Linked DNA regions of Tamandua tetradactyla. The protein of the gene in region 3 interacts with the protein of the main gene of each other region in a pairwise test. Links are inferred from orthologs where the notes say so. Each region holds a gene or a part of one and is shown on either strand. Other genes may lie near its edges.

What was found.
Region 1: the proteins of CCNDBP1 (region 3) and NANOS2 interact in binary tests that used the Homo sapiens proteins (3 or more experiments, as listed by UniProt). The two-hybrid records come from large-scale screens. The link is inferred for Tamandua tetradactyla from reciprocal best matches to the Homo sapiens genes CCNDBP1 and NANOS2.
Region 2: the proteins of CCNDBP1 (region 3) and PIAS2 interact in binary tests that used the Homo sapiens proteins (3 or more experiments, as listed by UniProt). The two-hybrid records come from large-scale screens. The link is inferred for Tamandua tetradactyla from reciprocal best matches to the Homo sapiens genes CCNDBP1 and PIAS2.
Region 4: the proteins of CCNDBP1 (region 3) and PIMREG interact in binary tests that used the Homo sapiens proteins (3 or more experiments, as listed by UniProt). The two-hybrid records come from large-scale screens. The link is inferred for Tamandua tetradactyla from reciprocal best matches to the Homo sapiens genes CCNDBP1 and PIMREG.

Annotation. Positions count from the first base shown.
Region 1 is NC_135342.1:15,163,727-15,168,682, forward strand, and holds NANOS2 (nanos homolog 2), read left to right. Parts: upstream 1-4,037; coding exon 4,038-4,454; downstream 4,455-4,956. UniProt on the Homo sapiens protein: Plays a key role in the sexual differentiation of germ cells by promoting the male fate but suppressing the female fate. Represses the female fate pathways by suppressing meiosis, which in turn results in the promotion of the male fate.
Region 2 is NC_135344.1:36,265,623-36,272,823, reverse strand, and holds the start of PIAS2 (E3 SUMO-protein ligase PIAS2), read right to left. Parts: upstream 3,018-7,201; 5' UTR 2,870-3,017; coding exon 2,846-2,869; intron 1-2,845. UniProt on the Homo sapiens protein: Functions as an E3-type small ubiquitin-like modifier (SUMO) ligase, stabilizing the interaction between UBE2I and the substrate, and as a SUMO-tethering factor.
Region 3 is NC_135340.1:57,391,568-57,399,521, reverse strand, and holds the start of CCNDBP1 (cyclin-D1-binding protein 1), read right to left. Parts: upstream 3,008-7,954; 5' UTR 2,894-3,007; coding exon 2,785-2,893; intron 2,610-2,784; coding exon 2,550-2,609; intron 2,174-2,549; coding exon 2,097-2,173; intron 519-2,096; coding exon 437-518; intron 1-436. Other genes in the region: TMEM62 (transmembrane protein 62), read right to left, coding at 3,634-3,960. UniProt on the Homo sapiens protein: May negatively regulate cell cycle progression. May act at least in part via inhibition of the cyclin-D1/CDK4 complex, thereby preventing phosphorylation of RB1 and blocking E2F-dependent transcription.
Region 4 is NC_135332.1:59,057,415-59,064,478, forward strand, and holds the start of PIMREG (protein PIMREG), read right to left. Parts: upstream 3,005-7,064; 5' UTR 2,957-3,004; intron 2,469-2,956; 5' UTR 2,434-2,468; coding exon 2,119-2,433; intron 1,177-2,118; coding exon 881-1,176; intron 370-880; coding exon 274-369; intron 1-273. UniProt on the Homo sapiens protein: During mitosis, may play a role in the control of metaphase-to-anaphase transition.

The DNA.
Region 1 (4,956 bases), on a different chromosome or scaffold from region 3:
CTGCGTGAGCGTGTCCCTCAGCCCCTCTGAGTCCCTGTCACCATTTTCTGTGACTCTTCCTCCTCTTTTCCAGGGTCTCTCTCCTCCTGACCTACCCCCCCCACCCCACCCTCCGCAGCCTTCCCTGCACCCCTCCCAGGGCTGTTTTCTGCCACCACTGGGAAGGAAATTGACAAGTAAACAGGGCAGCTGTGGAGTCTGGTGGGCCCACAGGGGCTGTGGTCCGGGGGTGGGCTGGAGCTGGGGTTCATGGTGAAGTAAACAAGACGGCTGATGAATTTCCTATCAGTATCTCCTGGGCCTTCCCCTCAAGACACAGCAGCAGGCAGACCCCGGCCAGGGCCAGCATCTGGGAGACAGCCTCAGGGCTCAGGCACGAAAACAACACCAGCTAGTGGAGGGAAAGGAGCCGCATCCCAAATAATAGAATCCTAATAGAAAACAGTGGAGGGGAAAAATAAATAAATAATGAGGAAAAAAGGGAAAGAAAACAACAACAACAGAGTTGCACAAAGCAGAATCTGGGACTCTTCAAATACTAGTTGGGATGGTTGAAACCCTCGCCTGTCCTTGCGTCATTCTCAGACGTCCAGTAGATGATGCCACACTGCATCGGTGGCCCAGGGAAGGCTGTGACACACCCTCCAGTCTCAACCCTCCCAAGCAGATGGACTCAGCTGTGATTTGCATGTAGCATCCCCCGCTCCCCGTCCCCGCAGCCTCCTGGCGCCCCCTCCAGGAGCCTTGTTCCACAGGACACCGCAATCTCTTCTGCTTTCAATTAGGTCTAGTGCATCCATGGCCAACAGGCCTTACTTATTCTCTCCAAGCAAAGTTGTTGGCTCAGTTTGCCCCATCCCTCCCGGTTTCCCATCTCACTACCCTTCTAGCTGGGAAGTCCCTCCACAATCTAACCACAGCCTCTCCTGCTTTCGGCAGACCACTTAGGCGGGCTCTCCACTCAGCAGGTTTGCGTGCCTCCTGGCAAGGGACAGAAGGGACATCCTGGATCGGGGTCAGGTAATCCTGGGTTCAAGTTCCAAGCTCCAGTTTACTAGCCGGATGGCCTTGGATGTGGCCCTCAGCCTCCCTGAGCCTCCCATTCCTCATCTGTAAAGTGGGACCCTCCCTTGAGGATTCAAATTCATGTCACAGGGAGAGGGCCCCTGCTTGGTATCTATAAATAAGCGCCGGTATGATTTTTTTGCCTTAATTGTGTCTGAATTGTCCTAGCTAACTTTTTTTTTTGATAGCAGCAAAATATATGCAACATAAAATTTGCCATTTTGACCACTTGAAGCATGCAATTCAGTGACATTAATTCGCGAGGTTGTGCAACCATCACCACTAGCAATTGACAAAATCTGTCACCAACCCAAACAGAAACTCCACACCCATTAAACGATAACTCCCCATCCCCTTTGCCTCATCCCCCAGTAACCTCGAATCTACTTTCTGACTCTATGAATTTGCCTATTCGCGATACTGCATGAACATGAAAACATACAGCATTCATCCTTTTGTGTCTGGCTTCTTTCACTCAACGTGAAGTCTTTCAGATTTAAATAAACATGGGGTATCATGTGCCAGGACTTAATTTCTCTCTCTTTTTTTTAAATATTTTTATTGACAAAACATAACATGAACACTCTTAACATATGAATATTCCATTCTTAGTATATAATCAATGACTCGCAATATCATCACGTAGTTGTATTTAGGATTTTATTCCTTTTTATTGCTGATTAGTGTTCCATTGTAAGGATAGATCGCATTTTGCTTACCCATTTATCTGTTGATAGACACGTGGGTTGTTTCCACCTTCTGGCTAATGGGAATAATGCTACGATGGACACTGATGAAAAGTCTCTGTTTGTGTCCCTCTATTCAGTTCTTTGGGTCTATACCAACTACGGGAATTGCTATAGCTAATATTTAATGGGTACCTCGCAGGGACCAAGCTCTGTGCTTAGGGTTTCCTATTCACAATGGCCATCCCGCTCTGAGGCATGTGCTGGCATCACCCTCACCTGATAGATGAGGCAACTGAGGCTCAGAGAGGTTAAATAACCCTGCGGCCATCCAGCAAGCAGATGGCAGGAACATGCTGGAACCAAAAAACACTGTGCTGCCTGCCAACAAACTGTGGGCTTGTTCATGCTCCAGTCACCCCTCTGTCTCCCTCCACTTGATCCAGTGACCCTAATATGAATAGAACAGAGGGGTCTAACTCACCTCTTTAGGAAAAAGGACTCCTGAGCAGGCATAAAACCTCGCAGCCACCACAGGACCGTGGCTGTGCCTTTACACACCAGGACTCTAATAATGGTGTTTGGTGCATGTGTGAACCCAGAATACCATCTTGGGGCCTTGGTTTTCACACCTGTAAAATAAGAAATGGGGTGAGCTGGACCTGATGATAGGGATAATCCTTTGTAGCTCAGATTCTGGGTTGTGAGGGCCATTGGAATATCTGGCGTCCCTGCCCACTAAATCTAGCCGCTGCCTCCAACAACTACGGCAAACCCCAAATGTACCCATTTCCACACCACCCCTAAGGGAGATGCACGGTCCAACGGGATTCAGCTTCTACAAATGGTTCTGGCCTCATTTCAGGACGCTCATTCTGCTCTGCCCCTCCCCCCCCCAACCCCCAGCCTCCTTGTTGTTCCTACGTCTATGTTTCTCTTTCTGGAAGATTCTCCCTTGTGGTCCCAGCTTCTGGGTCACCCCCTCCCCAGCCCAGCCTCTCTCCAAGCTTACAGGTAACTGGGCCTTTGCATCTGTTGTTCTCTTGTTCTCTCGTGGCTCCTCCCCGCTGGACTGGGGACTCAGGAAGTCTATGTGGGCTAGCCTTGGCCTTGGATGGTTGAGCTTCCCAGCATCCAGCACAGGGGAGGCCTCGAGAGCTACGTGCTGAATGGTCAAGGCAACCAAGGGAGGTCACTGGTGGAGGGAGAGTCCCTGGAGGTGGGGATGGGCAAGAGGCAACACACTGACTTTGGTCCTGAAGGCCAGGAAGGATTTGCGGCAATGGATGGGACCAAGGAGCGAGGTGTGTCCTAAGTGAGAATGCATGATGCTACAGACCTCCAAAGCTTCTAAGACATTCCCTGAGCATCTCTGGAGTCAGACTCGGGTGCAAATCCCAACTCTGCCATTACCCAGCTGTGTGACCTTGAGTGCATCCCCTAACCTCTCTGAGCCTCATATCCCCAGTAAAATGAAACCGATAGTGCCCCCCTCCTTGAGTGCTTGTGAGGTTCAAAGAGATCACATTTATAAATCACTGAGCACCAAAGTATGCACTGGGTATATATGCAATGAATGAATGCCTCTTTGTTCAAGATGTAATGAAAGAAAAGACTTTAATTCAAAAGCAGTAGAAGGCACACTTGCTTTGGGCTTCCACAGACCTGGGTTGGAGTCCGGGCTCTGCCACTTGCACGCTGTGTGACTTTGGGCCCTCTCTGAGCTTCAGTTAACACATCTATAAAATGGAGGTAATAACGGCATTTCTGATTGCCATTCTGACCGCAGTTGTTGAGAGAATTAGAGCATGTGGGTACCTGCAGCACAGCATCTGGCCCTTAGTAAAGGAGCGCTGTTATTATGGGAAAGGCCGTAGATATGTGAAGGGAGCTGCCCCCCAACCTGGGAAGAAGGGAGGGTAGGGGCGAAGGGGGCATTTGCAGATAAGGACCTTCATGAACGGACAGGGAAACTGAGACCTGGGGAGGGGGAGGGGCTTGCTGGGGGTCACAGCATCCAGGAGGCAGAGCTGGGGACAGAGACTGGGAGGATAACCCCCTGCCAGATCTCGGTGGGGGATTAGAATCCGATGGGGCCCATGGGTTGGGAGTGGGCTCTTTAAATCCTAAGCTCCACCTTTGTTTAGAAGGGTCTCTGGGGAGTATAAAAGGGGGTGCAGCTCCTCTCAGCTCCACAAGACGCCTGCTGTTCCTGCCCACCGGCCCCCAACCCCCGGCCCCTCTCCAGCCACCCACCCCAGCCTACGCCCCACCCCCCCCAGCACCATGCAGCTGCCCGCCTTCAACATGTGGAGGGACTACTTCAACCTGAGCCAGGTGCTGCTGGAGGTGATCCGAAGTCGGGGGCAACAGCCAGAGGCCCAAGGGGTTGGTGAGCCAAGCCCTGGGCCCCAGCTGGGGCGGCAAGAGGGGCCGGGAGGGCCAGGGGCCGGCGGGGGCCTGGCCACCCTGTGCAACTTCTGCAAGCACAACGGCGAGTCGCGCCACGTCTACTCCTCCCACCAGCTGAAGACGCCGGAGGGCGTGGTGGTGTGTCCTATCCTGCGTCACTACGTGTGTCCCCTGTGCGGGGCCACCGGTGGCCAGGCCCACACGCTCAAGTACTGCCCCCTCAACGGTGGCCAGCAGTCCCTCTACCGCCGCAGCGGACGCAACTCTGCCGGCCGCAAGGTCAAGCGCTGAGGATGGGGACATGACCACAACCCACCCCTCCAACCCTTCCTGCAGTGCCCCCCGAACTCTCCCCCATCCGCACAACTGCCCTTTGGAATTTCTCCCCTTTGGATCGCGGAAACCCAGGCGTCTGCCCTGGGTGGGGAGTGGGGCCAGGCCTGCCATCCTCGAACCTCCCAGCCCCGTGGCTCCTTCTGTGCTGAAGTCCTTGGAGCTTCAGTTCTTCCCGGGGCCTGCTGGCCCTGTCTCTTCGACGTCTCAGCCACGGGACTCGATTCCTCGTGGGACTCCTGGATCCTTACACCTGGAGGAACTCACTGTGTTCGCTGGGGACAGTAAGCCAGGCTGGCTGGGACTCTCCCGCCCAAGTCCTTCAAGATTGGCCCTTTTCCCCCGTCTTTCAGCCACCTCAAGACCCACAGTTTCCTCGGGGATCACGCTGGACCGTTTCTTCCCCACCCTCATGGCCCCATCAGCCAGGAGCTGGGGGTGCAGGCTTATCCCCAGGAGG
Region 2 (7,201 bases), on a different chromosome or scaffold from region 3:
CGGCAATAAAACCAGATGCAAACTGTTTTGGTTATACAGACCCCTAGGGAGTGGCCCTGAAGGATAATGGACAAGCATAAGGGAAATCCTCTCAGCTGCAAAACTAGCTGCCAAATATGTGGCAGCCAGAAGGACTAATCATTTCCTCACTGCCAAGAAGTTAGCCAATAAACTAATGCCCATGATTTTTGCTGGTCTATAATTAACTTGACTATCACTGACTATCATAATATATTCTGGACCAGGGGTCATCCAGTTCTGTATGTTTCTTCTGTTCTAATTAGTTTTTCCATCAATTGCCCTGTTTTTCCTCCACTATTATATATCATAAAAGAAGAATAGTGCTTAGTTATCATTTAATTTAGTCCACAGATTGTAGGATGACTAGGAACTCTTATTTAACATGAAGGAAAATGAACAAAGCAGTATAGCTAAGATTCTGAAGAGCACAAACTCTACAGCTAAACCTCTAAGGTTCAAAGTTCCAGCTTGAGCTATTTGACCTTGGTTAGGTTATTTAATCTCTCCCATGGCTCAACATCCTCATAGAATTGTGAGAATTGAATTGAGTATGTATATGTGAAGTGCCTAGGCCACAGCCTGGCACATAATAAGCATTATATGACAGTATGTATCTGCCATTTTCATACATCACCAGCACTACTGGCTTAAGAAAACATCTTGGGATATCACTCTACCACTGTGAAAAAGATGACTATTCACAACTGGGGTAAGGGAGGGGGTACAATTCATCTTTACGTTTTTTGTTTTGTTTTGTTTTGTTTTGTTTTCGCATGGGCAGGCACCAGGAGTCAAACCAGGGTCTCCGGTATGGCAGGTGAGAATTCTGCCATGGAGCCACTGTCACGTCGCACCGCCCCAATTCATCTTTGAATGGAGGGGAAAACCGATCTACACTGAGCAGCAAATACTAGGATGGTGAGCCCAGACCTTCTACTCTGAAAACTCTCACCAGTTAGTCTCCATTGGTCTGAAGTAAACTGTGTGGGAGGGGGCCTTTTATACAGGGAGAAGTAAAGACAGCTGATTTACAAGAAGAGAAGAATGAAACTGACCCACAAAACAAAATGGGAGAGAAGAGAGAGAAAAAGGTTCTTTGGTTTCCAACCACCTTTCAGTTTCTGGTTGAACTCCAACCTAAACAGTGACCACACATTCTGCCCTGTGCTAGTAAATAAATTCTCCACATTTTGTTAAACTTTGACAGACGATATTTATAAAAATCTAATACAAGTTCTGGAAAACTTTCATCAACACAAAACTTTGAAGAGGAAAAACTGTATACATCTGCCAATATGCAAAAATTAAGACAGTCTTGCAAGTAAAAATAAATTTAACTTCAAAGTTCAGTCTTTGAAACCCATCCAAAACCTAAAACATGAATTTACAGAGGAAGCTCAAGCCTGGTTGTTTCAAACACTCCACAGGTGTCAAAAGCACCACAGCTGGGATTCTGAGACACTAAAACCCTTAGATTATCAATATGAACACCTTTGCCTATGATCATGGTCCTCCATAAGCTAGGGCACAAAATGCATAAATATACTTTTTCTCCATACTGGGAACTAAGTGATTTGAAACAGCAGAAGGATAAAATGGCAGGCATTATATAAACTATAAGAATCTTCCTTTAGATCAGAACCATGAGCATGTTTCTTTTGCTTGTGTCCATTACTATACTATACTAGCCAGGTAACAAATGACCCAACGCTCCTTCCTCCACAGTATACCTCGACCAAAAATAATAACAAACACACAAAACTGAATCTTTTACTTCGTTCCCCTTTCTTCTTACTCCAAAAAAGTAACCTAATATCCTAAAGGCTATGTTACACAAATTGTCTGCAGTTAACTTAATTTCAAGTTGACATTCATCTCTACTTTGAAAGACAATTTTTTAAATATGGTTTCCATTAAATTTCCCATTTATGTCGCCAGTTCCAGTGCTCATAAAAAAATAAATCCGGCTCGTTTATCACACTTAGTTTGATTCAGTTAAGGACACCGAATATTTCGTTCTGGGGAAAAAATACTTATTTTTCCGTCCTAACCCCATCGCACCCCAATTCAAACCTCAACTACATAAAGATATCAACAATAAAGTACATTACTTTGTGATAAAGCCAGGAGGAAAATAAATTGCTTCCTCAAGAGCAAAGTGAGTTCAGTTCACTGACAAACCTCACAACACAGACTTTCGAATTTCTTCCAGCGCCACTAGCCATATATCAAGGTTTAAGGCCGACTGTTGACGGTAGAGTAACCAAAAGACCACGCTTCTCTCACATGCTGAGGAAATACTGGAAAGGGGTAGGAGCCTTTTCTTGGGACAGACCTGACTGAACGGTAGCATTAACCATGAAAGAAGAGAATAATTCCTAAGAACAACTTCACCTTTCAGAAAACAGTCTTCCACCAAGTGAGGAGCACGTAGACTTACTCGCCACAGACACGTCCACCCCTTGAGAAGATGGAAAATGAAATAATGCTTCCCACCTCGGCCCTTAAATTAAATGGGGAGGTCAGATTCCCACGTGCCACTCCCGGAGGGGTGCCCAGGCCCCAGTGCCAGGTGTGCGGAGCCGCTGGTAGGACGCGCGGACCGGCTAGCCCTCGGCCCCAGGCCCACCGCCCCCGTACGGCCCGGCGTCCCCCACGGACTCGCTCACCTCCCCCGCCCACTCGGCACTGCTCGGACGCCGGCTGGGATTCGGGGCTAGGGACTCCGCCAACCGGTGCCCGCGAAATAAGAAGGCGGCGGCCGGCGACGTTGCAGCCTCCCCTCCCCCGCGGCCTCCGCTCTCTACTCCGCGGCCCCGCTTACCCTCAACTCCTCGAAATCCGCCATTTTATACCATCCGCGGGCGCCGCCGCTGTTACCGCCACAGCCCCCGCTGCCGCTAACGACGCCGCCGCCACCACGGCCGCCGCCGCTGCCTCAAGCACCATCCTGCACTGGGCGCCGCTAAAGACGCCGCGGCCGCTACAGCCGCCGCCGCCGCCGCCGCCGGTCCCGTCACGTGACCGGCGCAGGAGCTCCGCCCCCAGCGCCCGCGGCCCCGCCCCTCCCGGTAGCCTCTGCCCACCCAGACTGGCCACCTTCCGCCCGCGTCTTCCTCCCGCGCTGCGGCGCGCTCCGTTGGCCTTGGGCTGGCTCCCGCCCTCTCCCGCACCCTTTCCGTTTTCCTCACCCCTTCCCATTCTTTCGTCTTGTCCTCCTCAGCCCCTCGTTGTTCTTTCCTTCCCCTTCGCGGAGGCCGGTGCCGACTTCCTGAAGCGCGGTCGCCGACTGCAGCGTTACCCGCGGGGTTAAGAGTCTGGCCTGAGGAAGTGCCGGAGAGGTGGAAAGGACTCGTGACAGGAGTATTTCGGATAAATTCCTACGGTGCCCTTCCACACGGGACTGTGGATAGAAGACACAGCTACAAATAAAACCATCCCCCAGAGTAGTAGTGGCGGTACAATCTAAGGATGGGTGTTGAGTAAGCTATTGTTATGATCTAATGGTGCAGAATTGGTGCGACCGCTTTAAATTGCCAATATTTTCAGAGTTCTTACTTGGCTGATTCTTTATGACTCTGAAGGGCAATGAATGTCACGGACTGCGAAGTTGAGAAGAGCGGGGGCAGTGAAATAAGAGTGCACTCAGAAGAGCCCTGATAGAAAGCTGAGGGGTCAGGGAAATCAGATAGCTAGGAAAGAATTAAATGCCTGGGCAGCGTAGTTGGGAGGAAGCTAGATGGCACTCCTAAAATGCTGATCGAGGATGAGAAACTAAGAAGATGCTGAGTCAAGCTGGTCAGAAGAGTCTCAGGACCGAGTCCAGGATTCAGATTTCCTTGAAGAGGTTGGTGGAACCCACCCAGGAAAAGACTTTAAAACTCTTAATCTAATGTATAAGGCCCTGTTTAATCTGGGGGCTCCTACCCACTGCCTCTTCTCACTCCCTTCTCTCCAACGTTGCATCTCTTTCACTTTTCTCCATAAGACTTTATTCCCCATGTTTTCATATCTCTGAATGCTGATCCCTGGGCCAAGAATAATTTCCCATTCTCTCTCTCCTAGCCTCTTTACCTCCTCTTCATCCTTCATATCTAAGTTTAAATGTCCCTTCCTCAGAAAGACCTTCCCCAAAACCCATCCCCCTTTTTAATTCAAATCTCTCTTAACGATCTCTCATATTACCCTGAACTTTTACTTCATAACATTTCTCCCTAATAATTATGTAGGTGTTTGTGAAATTATTATATTATAATAAAAAATTATTGTTTAAAACTTTTATCTTAAAAAGTTTTTTTTTAACCCACTGAACTAATGCCTAATGACTAAAAAATTGGCTCGTATTGTTTAACAAATAAAGGAATAAATAGTGTCTAGAATAAGTTCTAATTCTGGCTCTCTACCATTAACTTTGGGATCATAACTTGGCTTATTCTTGCTCTTAGTTTATTCTCCTTAGACTCTTTCATATTGTATAACAGATACTAAGTTAAAATTACTGTGGACTAGGAGCTTTGAGGAATAGAAAGATGAATAAAATGTATTATAGCTCTCCTGCCACCAAAGAACTTTCAACCCATGAGAGAGACTAGCACAAACATGAACAACTCTTAACAGAAGCAAGGCTGCCCTGAGACTTATTTGTAGTGTACGACATTGTAGTTTCTTCCCCAGCATCCATTCTGTTCTTCTCCCAATATGTAGCTGCTACTGCTAAGTGGATAAGTTTGGCGGAAACTTGGATCTTCTAAAAACATCCCCCCACACCAATTTCTCCCATTCCACAGGCTCTTCTTACAATGTGATTTTGACACACCTCCCATTAAGAGTTGAAGTTTTTGCTTCTTATGAATTAGAGTAAGCTTGCAGACTAAGATGGAAACAATTCTGTCATCTAAGGCTCAGTCATAAAAGACAATACTGCTTCCCCCTTATTCACTTGGGACATTCACTTTTGGAACTCAGCCACTATCCTGTGAGGAAATCTCAACAGTTATATGGAAATGCCAAAGGGTCCAGCACCAACTGTCAGGCAAAGAACCTTCAGAAGATTTCAGTTCGCTGTCAAATCACTTCCAGTCTTTGAATCTTCCCAGATGCGGTCTTAGTCAACATGGAGCAGAAGAAAGTTATCCCAACTGTACCCTGTCTTATTTCTTGACCCATGGAATCCATGATCATAATAAAATAGTTGTTTTACACCATAAGTTTTGGGTAGATTTTTACAGAGCCATAGTTAACTGGAATGATAACCTCTCAAGGAAAGCTAGCTTCAGGGAATATCTGGATGACATGTGTTTTCAATGTTGAAAATCTCTGATAGAGAAACCAGTAACAAAATCAGCATATTGCAGTGGTTAAGCAGAGAGCTTCTGAAGCCAGATTGCGTTTAAAACTTAGTTTGTCACTTTACTGGATAGTTGACCTTGGGCTAATAAATTGCCTGACTTGTACTTTACTTGCATGTAAAATGGAGAATTCATTAATGTGTCAAGTGAAATAAACCAGACACAAAAGGACAAATATAGTATAATCTCACATGTATGAACTAGCTAGAATACGCAAAATCATATAGAAAGTAGGTTATGAGCTTCCAGGGTTGGAGTGAGGGTGGTGGATGGAGATACATGCTTAATGGGCACAGAGTTTCTGTTTGGGGTGATGGAAAACTTTTAGTAATACATGGTGGTAATGGTAATGCAACACTGTGAATGTAATAACACCACTGAATTGTATGCTTGAAACAGTTAAGATGGGAAATTTTGTTTTATACCTGTTAACCACAATAAAAAATTTCTTAAAAGATACATTAGCACCTTTCTCATATGGTTATTATAAAGACTAAATAAATGAGTTAATTTATGTAAAGTATATAGAACAGTCTTTCTCAGTATAGGCCAATGCCCTGTACTCATACAGCAACTTTTCTTCCCATTATTTTACAAGTTCATTTAAAAAATTGTTTTTGGAGGCCCCACCTCAATCAAGATGGCAGAGTGAGACACTTCGTGGCTCTGTACCCCGACAGCTTTGAGCAACTGGCAAGAACTGACAGAAACATCTTTCTCAAAGCTCCAGAAACATTTAAAGGACTGCATGAACAGGGCAAGTGCTGGATCAAGAAAAAGTGTAGTTAAAAGGGGTGTCCTAGCTGGTTCCAGCCCAATCCCATGACCAGTTTACTGCAGAGCCACCGGTGTTCCCAGTGTGAATCCCTGGTCCACATTCCAGAGGGAGAATAGTAACCTTCATGCACATATTGGGAACCTGTATGTCTGACCCAATCTGTCTGGTGGTGGCCAGAGGCACTTGCTGTCCCAGAACTTGTCCTGTGTGCAGAAGGCAGCTCACCAAGCTCTCCTACAGAAAACACTGTGGGAGAGGGAATCAAGCAGAACATAGAATATGTTATATCAACATTAAATTTCTTGAACTTGACAACTGCACTCAAGGTGATTATAAAATGAATATCCTTGTTCTTAGGAACTGTACATGGCAGCATTATGGGTTCAAGGAGCATGATGTATACATCTACATTCAAGTAGGTATTCAGAAAATGGATTGATAGATAGGTGGATAGATACATAGAAGGGTTGATAGAATAAAGGATAGATAGCTAGAATGGAATAGCAAATTGGCAAATGTTAAAATTGGTAGATCTGGGTATCTGGGGAGATAGGGATATGTTAGAGTTCTCTGTATGTGATTGGTATTATTTTTGTAATTGTCCTGTAAGTATAAAAGTATTTCAAATTTTAAAGTTTTATAAAAATTTTTATACAGATTTTTATATTTTCATTGCTATTATTGGTTTTCCTTAATAATATTGCTATTATTATTATGATATATGATTATCATATATATAATATATTATTATTATTATTCCTTAATATTGCTATTATTAAGGAAAAGAATTGTCAGTTGGTGTGTAATACCTTTTGTTATATTATGAATTTTTTGAATGCATAACAAATACAGATGCCTTCTTTCACTGATGATGAGTTTATAACTATTGGGAAATGATGTATTTGGCTTTTCTCAACTGTATATTTATTTCAAATCTATTAACTATCAATTAACTATTTAGCTTCATATAATGTTAGATAGGAAAAAGAACTTTAGTTGCACATCATGTGGCTTTTATTTTACAAATGAGAAAATTAAGGCTCCAGTAGGATAA
Region 3 (7,954 bases):
CGGCATGTTTCAATTTATAATTTTGTCAAGGCATGAATCTACAGGAGAGCTGGAGGCTACTTAACTAATGGGAGCTCAGCAAGTGGGTATGATGCAATATGGCAGAGGAGAGTAGGAATGGCTTGGTCCTGGGTATGGGGCTGAGATCCAGCTATGTTGGTTAGCATGCGCTAGAGAGGGAAGAGCCACTGAGAAGAACTAAAAGCCAAGTTATGCAAGGGAGGAGAGAAAGTGAGCTACAGGGAACACTGTGTACCTTAGCATAACTGCTCATTTCCAAAGGTCACTTGTGTTATTAAATTGATCTTTGATGGCATTTTATAGGGGAAAGTTATATGCAAAAATTGGGGCAATGGTAAAAGTTTAAGGATTAACTTGTTATATTAGCAAAGATCTAGTCTATAAACTGAATGCTTCTGTGCACACAGTGGCTTACCCTGATCCTTAGGAAGCGAATAGTACACTGCAGTTATTGCCTCGATAGCAGCACGGACTTGTTCACAGCACATCTGAGCTTTCTTTAAGGTGAGGAACCAATTTCAGGATGAAAAAAGGAAATGGATTAGATAGATAAATGTGGTCAATCTTTCTACTGTGGAAGAGAGCAGCTATCTGTACAGCATCATCAAACATTTTCTGAGTCCTACTATAAGGAAGGTCTTGTGCTATACTCCTTACATACCAGAGAAGAATTAGATACCAGATACTAGGCTGATAATGCAATAAAACATTAAGAAACAGCAAGAAAAATATATTCCTGATATTGTATATCACAAAACAGTAATGATCTATTATGACGTATTTACCATATCTTATGCCAGGAGTTGGCAAACTAAAGCCAATGGAATAAATTAGGCCCATGCCAGTTTTTTTTAAATAAAGTGTTATATGGAACATGCCATGCTCATTCATTTACTTATTGTTTACAGTTAATCCACTACTAGATTAGAGTTGAAGAGTTGGCATACAAAGTCTAAAATACTTACTCTCTACCCCTTTTCAGAAAAAGATTGCCAATTCCTATGTGAGAACATTAGTGCTGTCCTCTCTATTTTAAAAAAGAGAATCACAATATATTTCTAAAGATAATTAGCATGGATTCAACAAATACTTAATATTGACTATTTTTCTTCTAATCAGTCTTAGGCTTTTTCTTCTTTAACCTCATCTAAATTCTAAATTCTTTATGCCATATACAAAAGTTAACTCAAAATAGATCAACAACTTGCTGAATCATTATATTGTTATTTCTTTTAGTCTCTACTGTATTAGAGCAACTAGAATTAAAAACCTAAAATTGTGGAATTGTAACCCATTCCAAACAAGGAAATCTGTTCTACAATTGTTGCGCTGTGCTTTGAAATTTATTGCTTTTTTGTATATATGTCATTTTTCACAAAAAAAGAAAAACAAAGTCAATTGTGATGATGAAAAAGTATTTTTTCCTTCTAGCCTGCAATGTTCTGGAGCAGCTAGAAGGAAAAATCTGAGATGATGGTATGGTAACCCATAACTAACTCTAACTACTTGTTGAAGAATGCTTTGGAAACTATTGCTTTTTTCTTTCTTAGCTTTATATATATGTTATTTTATACAATAAAATTTTTTTAAAAAATAGATCAACAACCTAATTTTAAGAGCTAAAACTATAAAACTCTAATTGAATATAAAAATACACAGCATAGCAGAAAGGGTGTAGCTGAGACATTAGACAGACCCTAATTTAAATCCTAGCTCCACTATTAAATTACCATAACCTGATCCTTTAAGTCTGCTTGCTCATCTGCCAAATGGGGATCACGTATGTAAAAACACCTAGCAAAAAACAAGTGCTTAAAAAAGTTATCAGGAAAAAAAGAGCCAGGCTGAACTTCAGATTGAACCAATTATTTAGAAGACCTAATGCTAAATATTGCGCATGGAAATTTACATGTTAACATACTGAGTCTTCACTACAGTTTTGTGAGGAAGAACTGTAATGCCAATTGACAGATGAGGAAAACAAATCCCCTGCTTTACTGTAAAACATAGAACGAAAATGTGAGGGTTTCTAGATAATAATGTAGCAGTACAAAACCACGAAAAGTAAAGCCCACCTGTGGAGACGGCAATGGAAGTCGAGAGACTACAGTCAGATTAGTGGCTTCCCTTGACACATTTTCAGCTGCCTCATCTGGAGGGAGTAGGGGGAATTTGGGGTGACAGAGGAAGAGGAGGGAGCCAATGTTAGTGCTAATGGATAAGGCTGCAGCTGCTGCTCGGACTTGAAAGATAATGAATTCCCTCTCCACCCTTTACGTGTTGAGGTTTCTTAAAAACACCTCCAAAATTCACCATTTTATAATTAACTTCAAACTCTCACTTGTGGAGGCTGAGTAATGTGAGGTTCCCACCCACAGTGAGAATTCAGCGAGAAAGAGACAGTCATCTCCGTGGGGAAGAGAGGATGGGAACAGCATGCGGATGCAGCTCAAGCTGGAGGAAGGCCCATGGACAAAAGCGATAGGCAAGGGAATGGGGGGAGGTTCCGCAGCGAGAACAGCACTCACTGAGTCTTTTCCAAAACTTCTCCCGATTAAACTCCTCTGTGGTCTCCCAGGCTTCGCCGACTTGTGTGTGTAGTGTGTGCAGGCCAAGCGGTGGCGAAAGGAAAAGCTGACGTTAAGTGGAGCCATCTCCGGCCCCCCACCACCTCTGCACGATCTGGGTCCCCCGCCGCAGCCTGTCTCCCACCCAAACCCGCCTCTGCCGTGTCCCTTTCTAACTGCAACGACCTCAACTCACCCCGCACTCGTGTCATGAGCAACCGCAGCTCCACTGCCAAGTTCTGGAGCTGCTCCAAAGGTGGATCAGGGTTGGGTACCGTGGCTGCAGGTACAGCTGTGCTCGCCATCGCTGTCTCACCTTTGAACGCCACAAATACCGCCGCGGCCCCAGGAAGTGCCGCACTGCGGAAACCGCACCACTCCACTTCCGGGGACCACGGACCCGGGTTGACTTCCGGCAACAAACTGTCCCGCCCCGCCCCAGAAACTAGACCACGCCCCTCGTAGCCACAGGCCTCCTCCCGCCTTCAGAGACCATGAAATTGCTTACTCATTCATTCATTTATTTGATTAGCTGAAAACACCCCCGACTGAGGAAGCAGAGAATCCATAACCCTGAGGGCAAACAGGTCTGGGAGCAAATTTCTCAAGGATAGTCAGGATAGGGCCCCAAGGCTACACTGGTTCACTGTCCTTAAAATGGCACCCTTGCCAGCTACGTGCCAGGCTCTGTGCTAGGTGTTTCATATGGGGTAACCCAGAAAACATACTGGGCCTTAGCTACTCCCATTTACAAACCCAGTCCCTGCACTGTGCATCTCCGAGATTAGGGCTTTCTCTTCACAAAGGTAAATCAATCCTTTGCCTCCTTGGGGAAGGAAGGAATCACACATTATTTAGAGACTTGCCTCTAGTCCATTCTGCAAGAAACAGTAGTGGGTAATCTCTCCAACTCTGGACTTCCAAGGAGCAGCAGCTTCCTGAAGCTTACCCACCAACTGGCCTTCCACCTGCTGCTGGGGCACGTCCTGCACTATAGAGGCAGAAACTGGAGCTTGGTCCAGCTGCTACTGGTAAGACATGGCCTTTAGGAGCTCAGGTGGCTTTTTAACAGCACCACAAAGGTTCCAAGCTCAGTGGAGTTCAATGTCCACACACAACGAATGAGAAGAGGTGTCAGCAGTGTCAACCAGGTCCACAAAGGAGAGAAGAAAAAAGCTAGGGTGCCATATGTCACATGAAGAAAGTAGCAGGAATAAGCCTGCCAGATGTACAGCAGTAGCATAAGTAGGTGAACAGGTATAATTTTCAAGTATTTTCCTTGGTGGAGATGAGATCTGAAGTTGTAACCAAAGCACCGTTGCAATAAGCTCCAACACAGATAAGCCATCAAAGGGATGTTAAAAAACACCAGCTGGAAGCAGAAGCAGAACAGAATTAAGTTACCACATAGCCCTTGGAAGTGCTGGGTCTCATAGATATATTATAGGTGGATCCTAAGAATATGTATAGCTCTGATTCTTTCTGCTTTGATCACAGTTGCTTATAACAAAACAGTTGGCTTATACTTCGTTGTGTGTTTGCCTGTGTCCTCTTGTTCACTCAAATCTCCAACTTGTAGTACAGTGTGACACAGCATCTGCTATAATAGAGTTTAAGTTGAAACTGAGTTTTGCAGAGGAGGGGAGAGGAGAGGCTTAGATATCAGTATTTCTGTTTGAGGCAGCATGATGAGTGAGCACTCTTCTGATTTGTATTCCAATACAAATTTAGCAGCTATATGGTTTATTCATTCATTCAACAAATATTTATTGAGCCCCCATTATGTAATAGGTAGTATGCTAGGCTCTAGGCTAGGAACACATTGGTGAAAAAGTCAGAAAATGAACTATCATAGCACTTACATTCTAACAAGGAGAAGAAATAAAAAAAAAGAACCCGCCCCTCACAAAAAAATAGTTAAAAGGTAAATGCAAAAAGAAAAAGAAAAAAAAAAAGATAATTCTGATAAGTTTAATGAGGGAAATAACTGGGTCAGGAGAGAATAACCAGGGTATGGCCTCCCTGAGAACTGAAAGATGGAAATGAGTCAATGAAGGGAAGTGCATTCTAAGTAGAAGGAACAAATGAAAAGCCCAGAGGTGAAAGTGCCCTGAGCTCTTTAAGCCCAATGAACCTGGAGCATGATAAGCCAGGTGGAGACTGGGGTAGTCAGCAGGACTGAGTTCATGCTCTGCTTAAAGGGTTTCAAGCTGAGAAGTGAGTGAGCTGATTAAGATTTCAAAAATATCATACTGGATGCTTTGTGGTGAACTGACAGTTTGGGTCTAGTGTAGCAGTGAGAAGAAGCATTTAGGGAACTATTTGGAGTAGTTTAGGCAAGAAATAATTATGACTTAGGCTAAGGTGGTGTAGTATTTAGGTTCAAGTGTCAATTTGGCCAAGTGAAGATGCCTAGTTTTGTTGCTATGGACATAAGCTAATGGCATGTGAAGCTCATTTGTTTCTGATTACATCTGCAGTTGGCTAGGAGGTGTGCCTGCTGCAATGAATGATATTTAACTGGCTGGAAGCTTAAATGGGAGACCTCAACCTAGCACAGCCCAAGCAGCTCAGTATACCTCATCTCAGCACTCCCAGCTCAGCACTCCCAGCTCAGTCCAGGCCTTTGGAGATGCAGAAAGAAATTACCACAGGGAAAGTTGTTGGAACCCAGAAGCCTGGAAGGAAGACCAGCAGCAATCGCCCTGTGCCTTCCCGTGTAAGAAAGAACCTCAGTTGAAAGTTAGCTGCCTTTCCTCTGAAGAACTATACGTTTTTAACTAAATAAATCCCCTTTTATTAAAAGCCAATCCATCGAAATCGGGGAGGCGGGGCCAAGATGGCGGCTTAGTAAGGTACGTGCGTCTTAGTTCCTCCTCCAAAACAACTACTAGGTGAACTGAAACAGTGCAGAACAGCTCCCGGGGCTACGGCAGGGAATGGACACACAGCGTACCCCAGTCTGGACTGGCTAGTCTGACTGCGAGACTTGGCTGCGGTGAGATCCCCGAGCGGCGTGCGATTTCCCGAGCAGCAGCAGCTGCGGCGGCCGGAGCTACACCCTCCCTCCTTCCCGGGCCAGCTGAGAGTCTCGGAGAGGCAAGTTTCCCAAGCCGAGGTGGCCGGCGCCCCTCTTTTGCGGGCGGCTTCCTGGTCCGGCTACGAGTCTCGGATCAGAGGGCTATCCAAGCCGCGGTGGCCCTCCCCCGCGGGCGGCTTCCTGGTCCGGTGGGGAATTCCCCAGGCTGCAGCGGCCGGTGACCGACGCCCCTCCCCAGAGGGTGACTTCCTGGTCCCGTGGTGAATTCCCCGGGCCCGCTGCGGCCGGCGACCAGCCACAGGGTCTCCTCAAGCCGCGGCGGCTGACGCCCCCACCACGCGCGGCCCCCCGAACCAACGGAGAGAATTGGATCGGAAATCCCCAGGCCGCGGAGATCGGTGACCGGGGGATCCATTCCAAACACGTGAGACAAACGTGTGCCACGAGCGCCACCTACTGGGCAGGATAAGAAAAACAGAACCCAGAGATTTCACAGAAAAATCTTACAACCTTGTTGGGTCAGACACCCAGGGAAATCGGACTAAATGCCCAGACGCCAGCAGCAGAAGATAACAGTCCACACTCAGAAGATTGAGAATATGGCCCAGTCAAAGGAACAAACCAATAGTTCAAATGAGATACAAGAGCTGAGACAACTAATGCTGAATATACGAACAGAAATGGAAAACCTCTTCAAAAATGAAATTGATAAATTGAGGGAGGACATGAAGAGGACCTGGGCTGAACATAAAGAAGAAATAGAAAAACTGAAAAAACAAATCACAGAACTTATGGAAGTGAAGGATAAAGTAGAAAAGATGGAAAAAACAATGGATACCTACATTGATAGATTTAAAGAGACAGAAGATAGAATTAGTGATTTGGAGGATGGAACATCTGAATTCCAAAAAGAAACAGAAACTATCGGGAAAAGAATGGAAAAATTTGAACAGGGTATCAGGGAACTCAAGGACAATATGAACCGCACAAATATACATGTTGTGGGTGTCCCAGAAGGAGAAGAGAAGGGAAAAGGAGGAGAAAAACTAATGGAAGAAATTATCACTGAAAATTTCCCAACTCTTATGAAAGACCTAAAATTACAGATCCAAGAAGTGCAGCGCACCCCAAAGAGATTAGAAAGAAATAGGCGTTCTCCAAGACACTTACTAGTTAGAATGTCAGAGGTCAAAGAGAAAGAGAGGATCTGGAAAGCAGCAAGAGAAAAACAATCCATCACATACAAGGGAAACCCAATAAGACTATGTGTAGATTTCTCAGCAGAAACCATGGAAGCTAGAAGACAGTGGGATGATATATTTAAATTACTAAAAGAGAAAAACTGCCAACCAAGACTCCTATATCCAGCAAAATTATCCTTCAAAAATGAGGGAGAAATTAAAACATTCTCAGACAAAAAGTCACTGAGAGAATATGTGACCAAGAGACCAGCTCTGCAAGAAATACTAAAGGGAGCACTAGAGTCAGATACAAAAAGACAGAAGAGAGAGGTATGGAGAAGAGTGTAGAAAGAAGGAAAATCAGATATGATATATATAATACAAAAGGCAAAATGGTAGAGGGAAATATTATCCAAACAGTAATAACACTAAATGTCAATGGACTGAATTCCCCAATCAAAAGACATAGATTGGCAGAATGGATTAAAAAACAGGATCCTTCTATATGCTGTCTACAGGAAACACATCTTAGACCCAAAGATAAACATAGGTTGAAAGTGAAAGGTTGGGAAAAGATATTTCATGCAAATAACAACCAGAAAAGAGCAGGAGTGGCTACACTAATATCCAACAAATTAGACTTCAAATGTAAAACAGTTAAAAGAGACAAAGAAGGACACTATATACTAATAAAAGGAACAATTAAACAAGAAGACATAACAATCATAAATATTTACGCACCGAACCAGAATGCCCCAAAATACGTGAGGAATACACTGCAAACACTGAAAAGGGAAATAGACTCATATACCATAATAGTTGGAGACTTCAATTCACCACTCTCATCAATGGACAGAACATCTAGACAGAGGATCAATAAAGAAATAGAGAATCTGAATGTTACCATAAATGAGCTAGACTTAACAGACATTTATAGGACATTACATCCCACAACAGCAGGATACACCTTTTTCTCAAGTGCTCATGAATCATTCTCAAAGATAGACCATATGCTGGGTCACAAAGCAAGTTTTAACAAATTTAAAAAGATTGAAATCATACACAACACTTTCTCGGATCATAAAGGAATGAAGTTGGAAATCAATAATAGGTAGAGTGCCAGAAAATTCACAAATACGTGGAGG
Region 4 (7,064 bases), on a different chromosome or scaffold from region 3:
GAGGGCTGAAAGGAGGTCAGGTCTGTTTGGAACCAGGTCCCTAACCACATGATGGAAGGTGATGGATAAACATGGCTGGAAGACCACACACAGTCTAGGATGAAAGACTCATATGCTATGGATAAGGAGAAGGAGGCTCAGAAAGGGCTAGGAACTGGCCAAGATCACACAGCAGGTCAGAGCCAGAACCAGAAACCTGCCTAAAAAGAGGGCATATGCTAAAGGGGCCCCTCTTGGCCATTTCTTGCTTGGAAGCATGGGATGCCGGCTCACCTCTCTTCAGCCACTATGACTTCATCCAACTCATGGGACAGCTTCTGGAGATGCTGAATTCCTGCCCCCACAGGCTCTAGGTCACTGTCAGACTCACTGAACAGAAGGAGAAGGCACACGTCAGTGAGTAGTCGGAACCCAGTAGCCCTTCCCAACCCAGCACTGGGGCCTGGTCTAAGGGCAGCAGATGAATGATGGGGGCCAGGAACCCTCACTCTAGACCAACACCTACGGATGAATTTGGAACACCTGGCAGAAAACAGGGAGATCAAAGCCCCTGGGACCAAGGTCACGGGCTGGTGAGCTCTGCTGTCTCCTGGGAAGCTTGGGTGAATGTGGTCTAACCAGAGCTAAGCTCACCTCTTCTTTTTACAGATGGAACTGAGGCCTTAAGGACTTCCCAGGTCCCCTCATAGTGGAGGCAGAGCTGCCAAAACATGGATTTGACTCAGCTCCAGGTGCCCTGGTTTCCTGGGTGGCCCTGGGAGGTGGCCATGGGAGGTGTTCAGAACCCCCTTGGGTCCAGTTAGTCTTTTGCTAACCAAGGAGTAAGAATCATGCTGAGGCTCAGACCCGCCAGCCCGGGGCAAGGGGCGGCCCCACTTACCTGGGGGAGCAGAGGGGCTCTGTTGAAGAGCACGGGCTCCAGAAGGCAGCCTCTCTCCTTGACCGCCGTTGTGGGTGGGCACGTAGGTTCATCTGGACAGAGAGGCTGTGACTCTTCCTCTCCCAGGGGCCCAGGGCTGAGCGGGCAGGGGCAGCCCCAGACAGCCTGGTGCTCTTCTGGCTCCGGCTGCCGGGTGGGGTGCTGCTGGCCTTCTGTGGCCCTCTCTTCCCCGTTCTGGCTTTCACCTGGGTTTCTACCAGCCACTTGGTGCTACTTTGGCAGGACTCTTGGATTCTCTGTGACAGATACATGGAAAGGAACAGACAAAGCCAACGGGGAGCTTCCGCCAGGTCTCCAGGCCATACCTCCAACCCCGAGCCTACCAGCTGTCCCACAGGCTGCTTTTAGTCTCGGGGTGAGGAATGCGGGTGACACCCTGTGAAATGACTCTGCGGTAGGGACCTAGTTGAGTCCCTGGGGAGTTAGCAGGAGCCCTCTTTGACTCTTAAGAGCCTCCGTTTGTCTAAGTCCAAACCCTCTTTTGAGATTCAGGGGAAAGGCCAGAGATGACCAGGCCCTGGACGCTAGGAGATGGTTTGTTTTTCTGCCTCTGGTCTCGCTCGCCCTAATCCATCACCCACATTGGTCCCCAGGGAGATCCTTCTAAAGGGTAGTTCTCACCATGACACCTGGGTGCCCAGGGTCCTTTGTGGCCCCTCACTGCCCACAGGATCAAACCCTAGCTCTCGGCCCTGGCATTCAACGGAAGTGGGGAGAGGTTGTGATGGCTGTTGGCTCTTCATTGGCTGGACTGCCCAGAGTCCAGAGGTTTGAGCAAAACTAGTGAGTCTTGTGACCTCATTTCATTTCTCTGATCCCTGGAGGTGGCAGCAAGGATCCCAGGGTTCTTCCAGATAAAGGCTAACACTAGGCTCAGAGACTTCTCTGCAAAGGGTCTAGAAATGGTTCCCTTCTCCCTACATCTTCAGAATCCTCTACCAGACACCAAGGGGACCCCGCTCCTTGGAGGTCTCCTTACTCTCATAGCTTCTGTCCCTTCTAGGTGACAGCTCCAGCCTCAGGTTTGAAGACGTGTCTGCTTGGAAAAGTCACACGGGCCCCTCACACCCAATATAGTCTTCACACAGTCTCCATTCTTGTGGGCGCCTTGAGGACAGGCACCGTGTAGCACCAAGGAAGCCCTCCTATAAAGGGATGGTCAGGACTGTCGGTCTTACCTGGGACATAGCACCCAAGGCGCTCTTGGCTGAGCGAGCAGCAGCCTGCAGACCCTGTTGCCCTGGCTCTGGGATTTCCAGGCGTTTCCAAGAGGGGCCAGCCCCGAGGTTAAGGCTGACGGTCCCCAGGGGCAGCCTCCTTTGTAACTGTTTGCACAGGGAGCCCAGGGCCCTGGAGGTCTCTGGATGGCTGACTGCAGGCTGCAGCACGTTGCTCTCCCCAGGCTGCAGCGCCTCACTCTCCCCAGGCTGCTCTTGGTCCTGGCGGAATCTCCAGCGCTTGGAGGCCCCCAGGCCCTGCCACCGAGAGGCCATCTGCCGGGCCAAGTCTCTGCTCTGCCCGCCAGATCCTGGGGAGGAGGTCAAAAGGCAAGTTGGCAAGGCGGCCCACGCCCCAGGCTCCACAGGGACCGTGGGCACAGGGAAGAGACAGGTTGGAGGCCCATGGGGTGGGGGCAGGAAGGACGGTGTTCCTTGGAAGAGGGGTCAGCAAGACCCAGAAGAGAGAAGAGGCTGAACAAGGATGGTCAGCATTTCCTGCAGCCCCTCCTTTCAAATCTTCCAAAGGGCTGCGCTTTTACTCCGGCATCCATCCCGCTCTCCACCGGAGTCAGGACCTGCCCGCGCGGACCCTCAGCCCCCGGCCCAGCCCGCCGCTTCCTGACCAACGCTCTCGGGCCCAAACCCCGGCCCGCGGACCGACGTCCCCCCTTTCTACTGGACGCTTGCAATATCCAGACCCCCTCCCCTCCTCCATACCGGGCCTGTCCCCGCTGGACGCTGCGCCCACCCCGGCTCCCGTGCGCAGAGGCCCGGCTCGGGCCCGGCCCCCACTCACCCGACAGCGTCCTCCGCCGACCCGCAGCCGAGCCCGGCCGCCCCCTCCACTGCCAGCGGATTTGAAACTCCGCGCGGGTCCGCCCCGGGCGCGCTCCTCGCAGCCCATTGGCCGCCTCCGCGGCCGCGCGGGGCCCCGATTGGCCGCCTCCTCTCTCGGCGGCGAGCCCCGCTCTCGGATTGGCCCTGTCGTCCCCATTCATCTCGCCGGATCCCAACCCCCGCCTGCCCCCTCCCCAAGTTCTCCCCGCTTTGTTTCGGTCCATCCCGCCCCCTCCGCGGCCAGAACCCGCACCCCCCACCCCACCCCGCCCCCTCGCCGGCCCAGTCCCCGCGCCACCTCCTGGACGCTCGGGCCCCTCCCTAGAACCTGCCGAGTGTTCGGGGCTTCAGATTGGTCAAAGTGGGCCTGGGGATGGCCGGGTGGGGGTGGCCGGGTGGGGGTTCCGGGCACGGAGGAGACCCAGGGTTTGGCGGCCTCGAGTTCCAGGCCCTTCAGCCGGTAGCTTCAGCCAACCCGGGTCAACGAGGGCCCCTCCCACCCCGCCCTAGACGTCTGGCGTTCTCTTCTCGCTTGCTCAGTGGTTTGCCAGAAAGACACAGGGGCAGGGGCTTCGGAGCCCCAGGTTCCCACAGGGATTTTGCCTCAAATTGCCCTCATGACCCCCTCCCTTAGCGAGTCAAGGCATGCCCCCCCCCCCCACCGCGTTCTCCAAACTCTCCACCCACCCTCTGACCCCAAGGCTACCCCTCCTGCATTGGGACAGACCCAGAGTCGCTCCCTGTGAGCCGCTCTTCCTGCCCACTCCCCGTTAGCCTTGCCCCACTGACTCGCCCCTCTCTGCAGTGTCGGGTCCACCCCTTCCCGTCGGCATCCAAACAAGCTAAAGAATCTCCTGTTTAAAAAGCTTTTCCCCGCCTGTCTCCCTCTTTTGCAGGATCTCAGGGGAGCACCTGCCCCCTCCCCCTTGACTTCCTTTCTGTCACCTTTGCCTCACTGCAGTCTATTTGACTCCATGAGGACACGGATAGAGAGGTTAGGATGGGTCCATGTTTCCCTCAGCTAACGTGGACAGAGCCAAGGATTCAAACTTGGGCAGTCTGGGAACAGAGGCCATGTGTTTGCCCAGCGCGCCACACCGCCTCTCCTCAGCCCCTCCCAGCCCCCTCCTGGAGCCCCCCTCCCCCCAGCGCTGCAGGTGCCTTAAACCAACACGTCCCAAGGAAACGTGGGCTCCCCCTCCCCCCCCTCCTCTTCCCTCATGCTCCCCTCGCCTCTCCAAAGAATACCTCGGGGGTGCCTGTGATAGGATCAGCGCTGTGCTAAAACTGGGCTACCCAGGTCAAGGAAATGTATTCCTTACCCCCTGGAACTCAAACTCTAGTGTGTGTGGGAGAGATGGACATCAATTAATCAAATAACCAATAATTAATCAAACAATCGCATGGAAGTTCGCTCACATAAAGTTGAGGCAAAGAATGTGTTTGTGTGGGAGGGTGACATGGGGTGGGGAAGTCTCCCTAGACGGGGGCAGGGCACTTTCAAGGGGGCAGCACCCACTGTGAGAAGCCCAGCACATGTGCTCACGTACAACGGGAGCTAAAGTTTCATGAAAAAAACCCTTTACTGTGTGTGATTTGCTCTGATATTTTATGTTCTAGTTCAATTAAATAAATAATGGTTATGACTTTACTAAATTTGTTTTCCGATGACTCACGGAGGGGTCGTGATCTGTGATTTGAAAAACACTGCCCTAGTTTGCCTCTTCACGCTGCTCCCCTTCCGTGAGTTGTTTGCCAAGAGTCAGAAGTGTCTGCTCCCAAAGCTCTTTATGCCAGTTGAACTTGCTATTATCATTAGGGAATTTAATTCATGTCAGTTACTAGTGACATAAGAGGGGAGAAAGAAAGAGTCGTTTCTGTGTAAACTAAGTTGAAAAAGTGTGAGAAGGACTCAGTGGGGGTGAGACACTTAGGAACAAAATCTCTCGGATTAGACTGGCACAGTTGCCTCCCTAGGGCCTACTATATGTTCTAGAATCTCAATAATAAGAGCTTATAGATTTCTGGACCCTTACCAATTTTACAGATGAGGAAAGTGAGGTTCAGACAGGTGAAGTGTCTTGCTGAAGGTTGTAAAACGAACCAGTAAGGGTCAGAGCAGGAACTTACCCCCTGGATTGTCTGACTCTGAAACCTGTATTCCTGACATTTTATTACACAGCCTCATTCAATGTCCAAAATGAGCACGTGTGTGAAGAGGCGTACCTTCCACCCGGGGCTCTCCCCCACTTCCCTCACTCACCATCACAGCTGGCAGGCCAGATTCGGGGAAAGCAGTCTCCATAGAAACTGGGGAAGGGGGAAGAAGCCTTTCCTTTTGAATGAGAAGGCTTTCCCTATTGTCTTGAGGATGTGCTGAGGAAAGTGGGTTCCTATTTGAGATGCAAGGACCAAGTCTCCTGCTCCTTCTTGCAAGGAGGAGAAAACAGTCAGTTCTTACTTTTGCCTCCATTAGGAAGGGGGAGGGAGGACGAAGGAGGCTCTTCAGCCCAGTCCCTGGGGGCCCCCTGTCACCAGCAAAACTTTCACCAGTTTCCTTGACCGCATGGAACGGCCAGTGTGAAGGAAGAGACAGATGCATTATCATAAACAACTGCAATTCTGCAAAATGCCATGACTGAAAAGTGATAGGGGGCAATGAGGGGGTGTAAGGGGGCAGGACCCTGACCTGAGCTGGGGGTCAGCACGGGCTTCCCTGAGCATGTGGTACGCTAACTGAGGAGTAGCGGCAACAAAGCCAGGGGGACAGGGTTTCAGATACAGGGGTGTGCGGTGGCCAGAGATGGGAGTCCAGAGCCCTGCCGAGTTCCAGAACCCGGAGAAGCTGAGCCTGGCTGAGCAAAAGAGTGAGGGCTGAGGGGTTGGGAAGGGGTAGCAAGAGGCAGAGGATGAGCCTGCCGTGCTCTGTAGAGCAGGGAAGTTTGGAATTTTATCCTGAGGCCATTGGGAAACCTTTGCTAAATTCTACGAGAGGAGTGGGTTATGACTAAGCTCTGTAAGGCGGCTGGCTTGGGAGCCATGTGGATACAGGGGGGGTGGCGGGGTGGGGTGGGGTGGGAGGCTGTGACCTGAGCTGAGGCCCAGCCCAGCAGGGGACCCCATTCTTCTTAGTAGTGAAGCAACCAAGCCTGAATTCCCGCTGGCATCAGCTTCAACAACCTCTCCTGCCCCCCAGCCAACCAGCGGCCCATCCCGTGGTTCTCCCTTTGAAGTATCTCTGTAATGTCTGTGCCCTTTGACCTTTCTATTACGGGAAACCATTCATTAGCAGTGGGAGAGTTTTAAGCAGTGGGAGACATGATCAGAACTTTTGCCTTCTATTGTGAACTATAGCACTCAGAAAAAAAGGCATTAAACAAGTAAAGTATAGTGAATACTTCTAAAGCAAACACCCAGGTAACCATCATCACCCAGGTCAAGAAACAGAACATTGATAGACCTCAGAAGCAGCCCCCACTCCCACCCTGCTGTGTGTCACAACCCCCCACCCAAAGAAACCCATGGGAACTTTTTTGCTAACAATTCATTTTATTTTGTAATGTCACCATCTATGTATCCATGTTATCTCCGACGTATGCAGACTCCTCTAGGCTGCTGTGTGGCTGAAGAAAGGGTGGCACGGAGGAGGGAAGGGTCTCCCTACCCCTCACCCTTATGCCCTGCCTTCTGGACAGGAGACTGGGCTGGTGGGGGTCTGAGCACTCAGGGAGGGCTTCCTGGAGGAGGCCTGGTTTGGCTGAATCAGTTAGCCCAGACTTCACTTCCTCTATGCCAATGGCTCCTCACTCTCAGGGGTGCTGGGTTTTGGGGTCCCACTCACTGTCCCTGGGAGGCCTTGCAACTTGCTGGAGAAGGAGGAGGGGAGAAGTCGATTTTTCCATTTCACCATTGGGGAAACGAGAGCCAGGACCCAGACACCCAAGGCCACTGGAGACAGTAAACAAAAGGTGTGGTCAGCCTTTGAACTCAGGTCTATATGGCTCCTAGCCCAGGGTCCTTTCTTCTGCCTCATGGCAAGGACTTGTATCCCTTCTCTTTGTAACAGA